Linked DNA regions of Macaca fascicularis. The protein of the gene in region 2 purifies or fractionates together with the protein of the main gene of each other region. This does not show direct contact. Links are inferred from orthologs where the notes say so. Each region holds a gene or a part of one and is shown on either strand. Other genes may lie near its edges.

Region 1 (3,670 bases), on a different chromosome or scaffold from region 2:
CCGGGAGGCGGAGCTTGCAGTGAGCTGAGATCTGGCCACTGCACTCCAGCCTGGGTGACAGAGCGAGACTCCGTCTCAAAAAAAAAAAAAAAAAAAATGGTTGAATTCAGGGCATAAATTTCTGAGTGACCCTTGTTTGAGTTTTGGTGTGTATTTTCAACAATGTTATGTTACTTCATAGTTGTGTATTCTGCTTTCTTAAGTGAAAGTAAGCTGTTATCCTGTTTTCTTTTAATTTATGTCAATCATTCAGTAAGATTTCATTAATGCATTAAAATCTGTATGTGAGTTTCTTCAGTATATAAATTTAATGATTCTTGGGATTAGTCTCAGTCGCTTCAGTATTTAAAAGTATAATTAATATTTTTTTACCCCATGTTGGATCAAAATTACTTGACAGTGTCACACAGTCCTACAATGCAAATACAGCTTAAACTACAAATGCCATAGATAGATAGACAGATAGATATTCCTTTTTATTCATTTTAAGATTACATCAAAATAGTACACAAGGTATAACTAAATGTATCCATGTGGTCAAATACACTAAAAGGAGTTTTGCAGGAGGAATCAGAATCTGTGTAAATGAAGGAAATAGAGTTTGTAGAGCACTGCCAAGTTATGGGTATTAAAAACAGTGATTATGGAATTTAATTCCTATATAAAATATTTAAAACCCAATTTATATAATAAAATCAAATCTATTCATTTACCTTTTTTTAAAAAAAAAGCTTTTTTATACTGCTGGATGGAATTTTTGGCCCAGTAGTACTAAATGTGCATTATTTAGCAAAAGCAAATACTGGCAGTAAAAGCAATTATAAATAATCTTCTACTAAGACAATCTCAGAGGGTAGCAGTACCAGTAAGCTCTGGAAAATTAGATTTATTTTTAATTATGAATAAATTAGGATCTTTAAAATTTTTTGTTTAGTTCATATAATGTGATGATTCAGTTTTCCTTTTAAAGATACTTCACTGGGCTGATAGAATTGGAAAGAACTCTGCTGGTTTATCTAACCCCTCCTGTTAATGAAGGAGGACACAGAGGTTCAGAGAAGAGTAAGATTCCTAAAAGTAGTTGATAGGCAGAGTGTTGTGACCTTTGAAGCAGTTTGTACACATGGGACAGTTTTAATATTGCAGATGTGTCGTGTGGTTTTTCTTTGGGAGCAATTAGAGTAATTTTTAACTGAAAATTATTGGAAACATTTTTTTATTTCAAGAAGCTAATCTATTGTGCTAAGGTTTTCCTTTACATCCCCTTTATTAGCCTGGGCATTTTGATAAACAAATAATATTATCTAGCACTTTTCAATTTCACAAACATTTTTATATTTTACATTCTCACGTGACTCTCAGAACAACCTTGTCAGATAAGGAAATACTACTCTTATTCCACAGATGAGGAGACTGAGGCTAAAGGAAATTTAATTGTTCAGATCATGTAAGCACAGTAGGAAGCAGAGCCACATTTGAACCCAAACCTTTCTACTCCAGAACCCTTGTCCCATCTACTGTGTCTAGCTTTACATGGTTGGAAGAGTTGCTTTTTAAAAGTCAGGTTGTTGGGCAAGGGAGGGGAAAAGAAAAAAAAATAAATAAATGGATAAATAAATAAATAAATAAGAGATTATTGTGATGGCACATCACTATTTAAAGGAATTCTGTGGTCAACCCTTTTGTTACAGGAAAAATGTCTTAATAGCTACCACGTGTTGAATGCCGGCTGTGGGCCAGGCAGTGTGGTAGGTGCTAACCCTCAGAATCTGCGAAGCATTTTAGAAGGGAAGTTGTGCTGCTTATCTAGTAAGGAACTCACGTAGGATTATTTGCCTTCAAAGCCCCAACTTCCAGCTGCACCCCAAATTCAGGTCTCCCTAAAGGAGAACACACCCATATGCTTATAGCGAAATCATTGTTTAATGTGCTACTTATGAATTGCATACATGGGTGTTGATATTTATACATCTAGATTTCCATTTATTGATGCAGTAATTGCAAAAATACTACTATTGGCTCAGAAGCTCATGAAATTTAAAAAAGAAAGCCAGGAAGGTAAATCAATAGCTGTTTATACAAGTATAATTGCTGGATGGCAGCGTTGGTTTTTTTTTTTTTCTTTGTAATTAACTATGTACGCTTTTCACAAAATTTAAATAATCCATCTGACCCACTCACCTTAAATGAAAATAAGAAGCATGTTCAAGCTTATGGCATTACACTCATACTCTTCTGAAACTTCATCTTTCATAATTATTAGATTCAGTATATTTTTCAATTTATATGTGATTGTATTCTGTTTTTGTTTTGTGTTGACAGAGTCTTACTCTGTCGCCCAGGCTGGAGGTCAGTGACACTATACAGCTCACTGAAGCCTTGACCTCCCAGGATCAGGCGATTCTCCCATTTCACCCTCTCAGGTAGCTAGGACTACAGACGCACAGCACCATGCCCAGCTAATTTTTTCATATTTTATTTGTAGAGATAGGGTTTCACCATGTTGCCCAGGCTGGTCTCGAACTCCTGGGCTCAAGAAATCTGCCCACCTTTGCCTCCCAAAATGCTGGTATTACAGGCGTGAGCCACTGCACCCAGCCTGCTGGTTGGTTTTTAATAATATTTTGCTCTGAGTTTTTTTTTTTTTTTTTTAGAAGAATCTTTGATACTATCATATTACCAAAACTGAACAAGTCTTCTTTTCAGGCCCCTGTTTTTATATGAATTTGGTTTGAAGAGTTTTTTCATCAAACTGATTTTTTATTTGTCATGGGTGTCCAGGAAGATGTCAGCTGTGTGAGCAACGGGTTGGTAGAGCACTCAGGTGGAGATGGAGAGGAGACCTGGGCAGCTCCTGTGGCTGAGTCACAGATTCTCCACTGGTCCCCATGTCTCCTTTGAGGAGGAGAAATAGGGCCTCCAGCCCTCCCAAGTTCTGAGGTAGAAAAATTCAAGGGATTTGCACAGTGGGAATGTATTTGAGTTTTGAAGTTCCACCTCGTTCCTGGACTAGCCCCTCATGCTTCACATGGCGATTCTATTGTCCTTTGTTTCAGCTAGAAAATAAACTTTGTTCAGTCTCGCCCCAAATGAGAAGTTCTAGGCAGTCAGGTATTTGGCAAGAGTGTAAGGGTCTCACCCAGGTTTAAAGTATAAAGTTGAATTTCTAAGCAAGCCTGAAGAGTATGTGCAATACACATCTTCTGATTTTATGTTGTTGCATGTCGTGAGGGGTTTGGTGTCTTCAAGTAAAGGTTTTAAAGGCAACCTGGACTAGACTCTAAAACTTGACCCTCTGATGCTAATCAAAAATACGCAATCATCAAATGGCATTCTTACTCTATTTTTAAACTATTACATATCCCATTTTGACAACTTATTCTTACCTTTTTTACATAGGTCGAACTGGAAGGTACACCCTTATAGAGAAATGGAGAGATACCGAAAGACACTTAGCACCTCATGAAAATCCTATCATATCCTTAAACAAATGGGGGCAGTATGCTAGTGATGTGCAGCTCATTCTACGGCGAACCGGGCCGTCGCTCAGTGAGCGACCCACTTCAGACAGTGTGGCTCGAATTCCTGAAAGAACTTTATACAGGCAGAGTCTGCCCCCCTTAGCTAAACTGAGGCCTCAGATCGACAAATCAATCAAAAGGAGAGAACC
Region 2 (3,670 bases):
GGTCAAATCCTTACTATTGTTCTGTGTTTGATATTAATGTCCCGAAGCCATTTTCATTCACAATCAAAAATTTTACTGCAGTAGTAGCTGCTATCTTCTTCTCATAGACATATTTTAAAGTCTTATTCTCTGCACTTTTACATTTTAATTTCTACAGAGCAAAATAAACCTGAGACATATAAGAAATACAATTTTAAACGTGTTAAAAGGTAAGTAGCTTTTAAAAATCTATCAATTCTTTCACAAAATAATGAGATAAGACTTAGGGTGCTTTGGGTTAGTAGGTTGACTTTTAAAATAAATTCCATTTCAACCCTTGTGTGTTGCTACTAAGAAAAGAAATTCCACAAAACAAAAACAAGATAGGTTATACCTTTCTTAAGCTGGATATTAAGCCTCTTGCCTATTTTTTTGGTGTTATAACCACTGCTTACAGTCGCACTAAATACATTCTGAGGTGCCGAGGCTGGAGCGGATGGTGGTTTTCCCGAGGGGTGTGCGCTATGAGGTAGTCGTGAGTGAGAGTCTATCTGCTCAGGCGGGTGGTTCAGTCGGGGTGCTCTCTGCACCGTGTGAAGCCCTGCACTGTTCACACTCCTGTTGTCAATATACTGGCTGTCAGGGCTAAAACGGCTTGAATAGTAATTGTTCTTCTCACTTTGAGATAGTTGTTCATACTGTTCTTTATTTGCTGCAGGAACCACATGGAACCAAATGATGGGTGTACGCATGGCTTGGCGAAACATATGTTGTGCTCTGGGTTTGAGAAAGAATAGAAAATTAGCAAATTAAGACTGGCAGACTAGAAGATATTATGAGCTTAATTAAGTATACTAATTAAGCAATAAGAACTGACAGGCTGTTGAAATTGAAAAGCAAAATTCTAATAACCCATTTATCAATCAAGTTTGTAGCTCTGATCTACGAATAGCTGTTTCTTCAAATATAAATTTCTCTTTCTCTCAATAAAAATAAAAAAATTATCTACAACTACAGAAAAAATTCTGTTCTCTCAATTGTAAATCATTAAACATGTTTTAAGTACAATAGAGGTATTATAATTTCAATAATAGAAACCAAATGGAACCTTCTCTTTACAACATTGTCTAATACAACTTGTAGACATTACAAAATATTTCCATTTAAGTTTTCAAAGAAAGAGCTTTATAATTATATATAGAATCTTGGATTGGGTTAGATGTGTATTTAAAATTTTTAAAATACACACACGCACACTTAGAAGGCTATAGAAAGTAACTATTAATTATCTATTAAGTTGATATATGCAAAAATCTCAAGAACAGCAATCCAGGCTCAATAATTCAAAATGCTGACAGCTGTGGGTCACAGTGCAACCATATGACCAGCCTGGGAAGCAGCTCTTTCTCATGCTGGTTCCCTGGTCAGGACCCCAAGTTCTTAAGAGTTCTGTTTGCTCCTGCCTTGTTTTATAAGAACTGGCCAACTTTTATGTTTTTCATTGACTAAGGGCCTGAATCAAGATAAAGTATATCTGAATACAACCCAATATTGAGGTGCAAACGAGCTTTATCTGCCTGTTTGTATCTAGAGAAATTGTGTGCAGCAAAGGTGGATGGGTGAATTAAAGTATGATAAAAATGGGCACACTGTCAATTTTCCAAAAGGGGAGGAACCAGCAAAACTGTAAAGCTGAAACGGGGGCTATGCTACTTAAGAAGAGCTATATCCATCAGAGGACATTTTGAAATATAGTCTAATGGTATTAATTACTTTGAGTATGATTAAATTTTTAAAAGCTAATGGCAGAAAATATTCCTGTCTAGTATACAGACTGAGATCACAGATATGTTGTTTGAAGCATTTCAACTGACTGCACTCTGTCATGCCTAATGCAAGTAAGAAGAGAAATGCAGCGAGCACACACTTACTGTTCAAATCTTCTATTTCGAAGGTCGCCATCATTAATCCTGACAATGCAATCATTCTCATGAAAAAGATTTTCATGTTCAGCTTTACCACCTTTCTCCAATCGTTTTACTAATAACCCCAGGGTTCTGGAACATTAAGAATGCAAATGATTACACATGTAATATCTCCACCATGCACACTGCCCTACCACTTTAATGCTGATATTATATTTACAAAGACTTCCTTACAAAGAAGCATGTCAAAATCACTATTCATACATTTTTAAATAACAGACAAAAATCACAACAGTTTAAATGATATGTAAAAATGCATCCCTTCCATAAATGCGAAAAATCATTTTCTGGCTGGTCAGTATTATGTTTCGAGAACAAGCTATAACACTCTCTCTGTTTACAAATGCCCCAAACAGAGCTCGCCTAATGGTTGAGTGGGTATTGCAGTGTGGAGCATGGATAAGCATGTATTTTTGAATGACTTGGGCAATTTTCTGTTTTAAGCCAGCTGGTATGCTAGCTTAAAAAACGACTGCAACCCCCATCTTTCTGTGAAAATAAAGGTAATGAGGAAAAGCTAACCTCATTGCACTGCAGGTTTGAGAATGATAATAGGAAAGATTTCAGAAATAAAAGAGTTTCTGTGCTTTGCATTTGAATTTGATAGTGCTTAGTATTGTGAATTTCAAAACCTGTTAGGTCTCCTAAAAGTAAGTCATTTATTGTCAATATTCCCATTTGGAAAAACAAATGACCAAACAGAAAAACAGCAGTGAGAGGTTCAAATAATGCCAATCGCCATTCATCTCTTTCATATATGTACTCACTCAGGTTGAAAGAAAAGTGTGAATGACCTTTGAGAGACTCCCTACTTGCTCTAGAACACTAACTTCATAACTCACAGGACATTCAATACAGACTGGGACAAATAGGAAATACTTCTTTAAATCACAGTATAAGCAACAGGGGTCTTAACCTAGCTCGGATTGTTGTTATTTTTTTACTCTTACTTTTTTTTGAGATGGAGTTTCATTCTTGTCATCCAGGCTGTAGTGCAATGGCATGGTCTTGGCTCACTGCAACCTCCACCTCCTGGGTTCAAGTGATTCTCCTGCCTCAGCCTCCCAAGTAGCTGGGATCATAGGCATGCGCCACCACGTCCGGCTAATTTTTTTGTATTTTTAGTAGAGCCGGGGTTTCACCATGTTGGCCAGGCTGGTCTCAAACTCCTGACCTCAGGTAATCCACCCACCTCAGCCTCCCAAAGTGCTGGGATTACAGGCATGAGGCACCGCACCCGGCCTGACTGCTGTTAATTACTTGGTGGCTGGCATAAATTTTGTATCATGATATTAAAATTTTTATATGAACTTATTTTTTGTACTTCCAAAATTTGTATTTTCCTTCATAATCCTAATAAAGAGACAAAAATGCCTAGACAGGCACTAAAATTGAGAATTCTGCATAAATTAATATTGAAGACATCCTAATTTTCAAATAACATCTATATGATTTCCAAGAGAATTACAACTTGCAGTCATCTGTGTATGTTTTCCAGTAGAAATATACCAAAATAGATAGCTGCTGCTTCTATACTTTTCCAGTAATTGTTGTATCTGTTCCATGGGCATTTATCATATTCTTCTGTTATATACATACCTTATCTCTACTAGTGCATTGTAAGCTCCTAGCAGAGAACATAAGATTCAGCAGTTCAAGCACTGAACTAGTAGTAAGGTCTTGATAAATGACAACTGAATGAAGGC
Region 3 (2,675 bases), on a different chromosome or scaffold from region 2:
ACAGAGCAAGACTCTGTCTCAAAAAAAAAAAAAAAAAAACTGGTTTAAAATCATGTTTTAAGGCCAGACACAGTAGCTCTCACCTGTACTCCTAGCACATTGAGAGGCCGAGGCAAGAGGATCTCCTGAGGCCAGGAGTTCAAAACCAGCCTGGGCAACACAGCAAGACCCTATTTTAAAAAAAGGAAAAATACATATATATTTAATGATGTTTAAGAATATGTAAGATCTGGCTAGGTGCGGTGGCTCACGCCTGTAATTCCAGCACTTCGGGAGGCCGAGGTGGGCGGATCACGAGGTCAGGAGATCGAGACCATCCTGGCTAACACGGTGAAACCCTGTCTGTACTAAAAATACAAAAAAAATTAGCCAGGCCTGGTAACACACACCTGTAGTTCCAGCTACTCGGGAGGGTGAGGCAGGAGAATTGCTTGAACCCAGGAGGCAGAGGTTGCTGTGAGCCAAGGTCACGCCACTGCAGTCAGCCTGGGCGACAGAGCGAGACCATCTCAAAGAAAAAAAAAAAGAATACGTAAGATCTATCATAATTTCATTTGCCATATTTAATGTTTAATAGTGATTGAGCTCTATCAAATTTAACTTCAACATTGGTTTATTTTGTGATGTGTATTTGAGATGGCCACCTAGTGGTTTTTTCTGGTATGGCATTTTACTACTGTACTAGATTATGATCTGATTAGCAAATAAGCTTATTAGCTAGTTTGTTTATATACCAAATATATTTTGAGTTATCCTTTCTGTACAGATTCTGCCGCAAGTGAATAGATATTTTTACAGCATTTCTATAATTATTTTGTTTTATTTTTAAACAGAAGAAGCAGACTACAGTGCCTTTGGTACAGACACGCTAATAAAGAAGAAGAATGTTTTAACCAACGTATTGCGTCCTGACAACCATAGAAAAAAGCCACATATAGTCATTAGTATGCCCCAAGACTTTAGACCTGTGTCTTCTATTATAGACGTGGATATTCTTCCAGAAACACATCGTAGGGTACGTCTTTACAAATATGGCACTGAGAAACCCCTAGGATTCTACATCCGGGATGGCTCCAGTGTCAGGGTAACACCACATGGCTTGGAAAAGGTTCCAGGGATCTTTATATCCAGGCTTGTCCCAGGAGGTCTGGCTCAAAGTACAGGACTATTAGCTGTTAATGATGAAGTTTTAGAAGTTAATGGCATAGAAGTTTCAGGGAAGAGCCTTGATCAAGTAACAGACATGATGATTGCAAATAGCCGTAACCTCATCATAACAGTGAGACCGGCAAACCAGAGGAATAATGTTGTGAGGAACAGTCGGACTTCTGGCAGTTCTGGCCAGTCTACCGATAATAGCCTTCTTGGCTCCCCACAGCACATTGAACCAAGCTGTGAGCCAGAGGATGAAGACAGCGATGAAGATGACATTATCATTGAAGACAATGGAGTGCCACAGCAGATTCCAAAAGCTGTTCCTAATACCGAGAGCCTGGAGTCATTAACACAGATAGAGCTAAGCTTTGAGTCTGGACAGAATGGCTTTATTCCCTCTAATGAAGTGAGCTTAGCACCCATAGCAAGTGGCTCAAACACGGAATTTGAAACACATGCTCCAGATCAAAAACTCTTAGAAGAAGATGGAACAATCATAACATTATGAAACCATTGTTTGAATGTTTTCAGAGTGAGGATGCCATGAGAACTTGTACATTTGGCTAGTTTAAAAGCATATATACCTCTGACCAGTGACGTGGAATAGGCATGAGACGAGTAACGTTGCAAGCTTACAATATTATTAAAGTAGTAGTCTGATAATTGTTAATATAAACTTTGGTGGATCAGAGGTGAATTTAAGTCCAAAACAAAGGGGCCTTTGCTGATGAAGTTACGTGCTTTTACTTTTTTGTCTGTGGAGAATCAGATGTTAAAGCACATTCTTGGAACTATGCGAGAAGACTAGATCATTTCTGTTGGAAGTGGTTGCATATTTAACCTGCTGTGCAGAGCCCAGTTAATTTTTCCTTTAACTGTATTTTTAAAATTCTAATGTGAAGTCTGATTCTCTCTTTTGGTACACTGGGGACCTCAGCTCTTAAAGGTCTTATGTTCCCAATATTTTATTTTATTTTTTATTTTTTATTTTTTTAGTGACTGGATCTCACTCTGTTGCCCAAGCTGGAGTGCAGTGGCATGATCACAGCTCACTGCAGCCTCAACCTCCTGGGCTCAAGCAATCCTCCCACTTCAGCCTCCTGAGTAGCTGGGACCACAGGCACGTACCATGACACCTGGCTACTTTTTGTATTTTTTGTAGAGACAGAGTTTTGCCATGTTGCCCAAGCTGGTCTTGAACTCCTGGGCTCAAGCAGTCCTGCCTCGGCTTCCCAAAGTGCTAGGATTACAGCCACCATGCCAAGCCTATTTTGATTTTTGTTTTTTTAATGTTCCTCTCTAATAAATTGTAACAAATGATGTTCTCAAGTGCATTTCCAGTTTCTAAGAATCAAACCACGTGGCTGTTTTTAGGAGTTGCTTCCCATGTTATAAAGCTCAGGAAGCTCTCTTTTTTTTTTTTTTTTGTCTCTGTCGCCCAGGCTGGAGTGCAGTGGTGCAATCTCAGCTCCCAGATTCAAGCAGTTCTTCTGCCTCAGCCTCCTGAGTAACTGAGATTA
Region 4 (3,670 bases), on a different chromosome or scaffold from region 2:
GGGGTTGAAGTGTTGACAGAAAAAAAAAAAATTCAAGACAATCAACGTTGACTAGTCTGAAGAAGTTAGATTAGAGGTGCTGCATATTTATTTTTCTTTGACCATGAACATCTATTGACTTTTTTTTTTTTGTTTTTTTTTTTTTTTGAGGCTTCAAGACGAAATGAAAATGAGGAAAAATGTGGTTGTTCAAAGAGGGACTATGAGTTAGGGGGAAAAAATCAGAGAATCTGAGCATGCTTACACAGAGGGAAGCAAGCTAGAAAAAAATAAATCTAAGAAGGTCCAATAACAAGATAACTGACAAAATGAAATATTGGAGAAAACTACAGAAACAGGTCTAGGAAAATAGGAGGGACGCTCCTTGTAAAGGAGAGCCTTCCAAGAGTAGGGAATAAGAAAATGTTGAAAAGAATTAGAAAGCAATTCTGAGATGCAAGGTGGTCTGGTGACAGCTGGAAAGGAGGCAAGGTCACGCCAGAGAGGTTATCAGTCCTTGCATCAAAATAAGACAAGGTTAATCCTTTAACAGTGATGGAAAAAGGAGTAGAACTGAAGGCTTCTGAAATGAAGAGACTGTTTGGAGCAGGTGCTGGGAGAAATGTGGTAAGAAATAAGATAGAAGTAAAATGACTGCCAAACAATAAGGGCCTCCTTGAGATTAGAGAGAATGAATCTGTAACAACAGGTAAATAATCAAAATATCCCCCAATTATTTTAAGGTATATTTTTAAAAGATGCAGTATAAGTACAAAAAAATATATCAGCTCACTGCTGGCTGGATTTAATAACTCAATGTAATTCCTTAAAAAAAGCAATTTGGCAATACATATCAAGAGCTTTAAAATGTTAATACCCTCTGACCTAATTCCCTTTCTAAGAATCTATCTTAAGGCAATACTCAGGAACTTAGACAGACAAAGACAGTCCTTGTCAAATGGGAAACAGTGCAGCAGGACAGAGAGATTTGGGTTTGAATCCTGACTCTACCACCTGATAGCTGTGTAACTTTGCTTAACCTCTCTGAGCCTCAGTTTCCTCATCTGTAAAATGAAGATGACAATTTAACTAGTTTACAAAGTTGTTGTGAAAATGAGATAATGCACGATAAAGCAAAGGAGAAAATGACAGTTACTATTAAAACTTATAATAGTACAGTGGATTCAAATACCAGTAACTGAATGGTTATATAAATTATAGTATAGGCCGGGCGCAGTGGCTCACGCCTGTAATCCCAGCACTTTAAGAGGCCAAGGTGGGTGGATCACCTGAGGTCAGGAGTTCAGGATCAGCCTGGCCAACATGGCAAACGCCGTCCTTACTAAAAATATAAAAATTAGCTGGGTGTCGTGGCATGAGCCTGTAGTCCCAGCTACTCAGGGTGGCTGAGGCAGGAGAATCACTTGAACCTGGGAGGCAGAGGTTGCAGTGAGCCAAGATTGCACCACTGCACTCCAGCCTGGGAGACAGAGCGAGACTCTGTCTCAAAAATAAAATAAAATGAAATAAAATAAAAAATAAAAAAATTAATAGTATAATCTGATCATGAAACATTGCATAGTCACTAAAAATGGGATTTCCAAAAAACTTAAAAAAAAATTTCAGTGTACAGAATTACTTACTCGTCATCTGGAGTGAGCTGGACAGGTTCATTGGTAAACTGAGAATCAAAGTTGTCCAAACCAAATTCCCCAGAAATATTTGGTTTAAAGGGAGGTACCACCTGTTTTTGCTCCATCTGAAAAGACATATTGGATGACAGCTCAAGTCTGTATTATTAGAAAAATTGCACCTCTACAGTTCTCCTCTGCACTCATTGTTTCCCTTATTAAAGTGAGTCCTGAAGCACGGTACAATGATATTAGCAATGATGAACATAATTTACAAATATGAGCTGGGCATGGTGGCTCATGCCTATAATCCCAACTGCTTGGTAGGTTGAGATGGGAGGACCACTTGAGGCCAGGAGTTCAAGACCAGCCCGGACAATATAGCAAGACCCCATCTCTATTAAAAAATTAAAAATTGGCTGGGCACAGCAGTTCATGCCTGTAATCCCATCACTTTGGGAGGCCAAGGTGCGTAAATCACCTGAGGTCAGGGATTCAAGACCAGTCTGGCCAACATAGCAAAACCCTGTCTCTACTAAAAATACAGAAATTAGCCAGGCGTGGTGGCGTGCACCTATAATCCCAGCTACTCTGGAGGCTGAGACAGGAGAATTGCTTGAACCTAGGTGGCGAAGGTTGCAGTGAGCCGAGATTGTGCCACAACACTCCAGCCTGGGAGACAGAGCAAGATTCCACCTCAAAAAAAACAAACCAAAAAAAAAAATTGAAAATTAGCTGGGTACCATGGCTTATGCCTATAGTCCCAGCTACTTGAGAGGTTAACACAGGAGGATCTCTTGAGTCTAGGAGTTCAATCAAGGCTGTCGTGAGCTACAGTACAGCCTGGGCGATGGAGTGAGACTGTTTCTCTTAAAAAAACAAACAAACAAACAAACAAACAAAAACAAGTATAAACATTGATATGGGCTTCAATAACATTATAACCTGCTTTATTACATTAATATTCAATTTTTTGGCTGGGCACGGTGGCTCACCCCTGGAATCCCAACACTTTGGGAGGCTGAGGCAGGTGGATCACTTGAGGTCTGGAGTTCAAGACCAGCCTGGCCAACATGATGAAACGTTGTCTCCACTAAAAATATAAAAATTAGCTGGGCATGGTGGCATGTGCCTGTAATCCCAGCTACTTAGGAGGCTGAGGCAGAATTGCGTGAACCCAGGAGGCGGAGGTTGCAGTGAGCAGAGATCACACCATCGCGCTCCAACCTGGGCAATAGAATGTGACTCCATCTCAGAAAAAACAATACATTTTTAAAAAAAGGATTTTTTTTGTTTAAAAAGTTTTCTAAAAAGCAGTTTAGAAAGTGGTTTTAAGTTTTTAAAGCTGTGATATGTTAGCTAAGACAATAAAATTTGGCCCAAGATAGGCCAGGTGCGGTGGCTCACACCTGTAATCCCAGCACTTTGGGAGGCCAAGGTGGGTGGATCACCTGATGTCAGGAGTTCGAGACCAGCCTGGCCGACATCGTGAAACCCCCCCATCTCTACTAAAAATACAAAAATTAGCCGGGTGTGGTGGTGCGTGCCTGTAATTCCAGCTACTTGGGAGGCGGAGACAGGAGAACTGCTTGAACCCGGGAGATAGAGGTTGCAGTGAGCCGAGATCGTGCCACTGCATGCCAGCCTGGGTGACAGAGCAAGACTCTGTCCTAAAAAAAAAAAAAAAAAAAGATTTGGCTGAAGATAATAATGAAACCTAATAGAGAAAGTAATCAAAATTTACATACCATATCCCAATCAACATTTCGGAAGAACGGGTGTCCCTGAATATCAGCAAATCCTGTTTGAGGATGACAACCCAATCGTTCCTTAGGGTCCTATGGTGAAAGAAATGTTTCAAGAATTGGGTGAATGTCGTGCTTTAAAATAAATCATCTTTGTGATCTGTATTTTGTGCTCTCACATGATAGTCTTATTTCTGAAGTTGGAATGGTCTACCTTTTATTTCTAGAAAGTACAACTCCAGAACAAATTGAATTATCTGAAGCTTGTGATAGGTAAGATTTCTTTGTGGCACTTTCTCCACCTATCATGTAATT

The links.
Region 1: the proteins of PARD3 (region 2) and RASSF8 purify together in Homo sapiens (affinity purification with mass spectrometry; 4 studies listed by BioGRID and IntAct, counting the BioPlex papers as one, with this or other methods). This does not show direct contact. The link is inferred for Macaca fascicularis from reciprocal best matches to the Homo sapiens genes PARD3 and RASSF8.
Region 3: the proteins of PARD3 (region 2) and PARD6B purify together in Homo sapiens (affinity purification with mass spectrometry; 5 studies listed by BioGRID and IntAct, counting the BioPlex papers as one, with this or other methods). This does not show direct contact. The link is inferred for Macaca fascicularis from reciprocal best matches to the Homo sapiens genes PARD3 and PARD6B.
Region 4: the proteins of PARD3 (region 2) and PRKCI purify together in Homo sapiens (affinity purification with western blotting; 5 studies listed by BioGRID and IntAct, with this or other methods). This does not show direct contact. The link is inferred for Macaca fascicularis from reciprocal best matches to the Homo sapiens genes PARD3 and PRKCI.

Annotation. Positions count from the first base shown.
Region 1 is NC_088385.1:28,797,113-28,800,782, forward strand, and holds part of RASSF8 (ras association domain-containing protein 8), read left to right. Parts: intron 1-3,399; coding exon 3,400-3,670.
Region 2 is NC_088383.1:35,134,078-35,137,747, forward strand, and holds part of PARD3 (partitioning defective 3 homolog), read right to left. Parts: intron 2,037-3,670; coding exon 1,911-2,036; intron 757-1,910; coding exon 374-756; intron 1-373. UniProt on the Homo sapiens protein: Adapter protein involved in asymmetrical cell division and cell polarization processes. Seems to play a central role in the formation of epithelial tight junctions. Targets the phosphatase PTEN to cell junctions.
Region 3 is NC_088384.1:106,853,116-106,855,790, forward strand, and holds part of PARD6B (partitioning defective 6 homolog beta), read left to right. Parts: intron 1-833; coding exon 834-1,663; 3' UTR 1,664-2,675. UniProt on the Homo sapiens protein: Adapter protein involved in asymmetrical cell division and cell polarization processes. Probably involved in formation of epithelial tight junctions.
Region 4 is NC_088376.1:81,805,479-81,809,148, reverse strand, and holds part of PRKCI (protein kinase C iota type), read right to left. Parts: intron 3,449-3,670; coding exon 3,359-3,448; intron 1,739-3,358; coding exon 1,623-1,738; intron 1-1,622.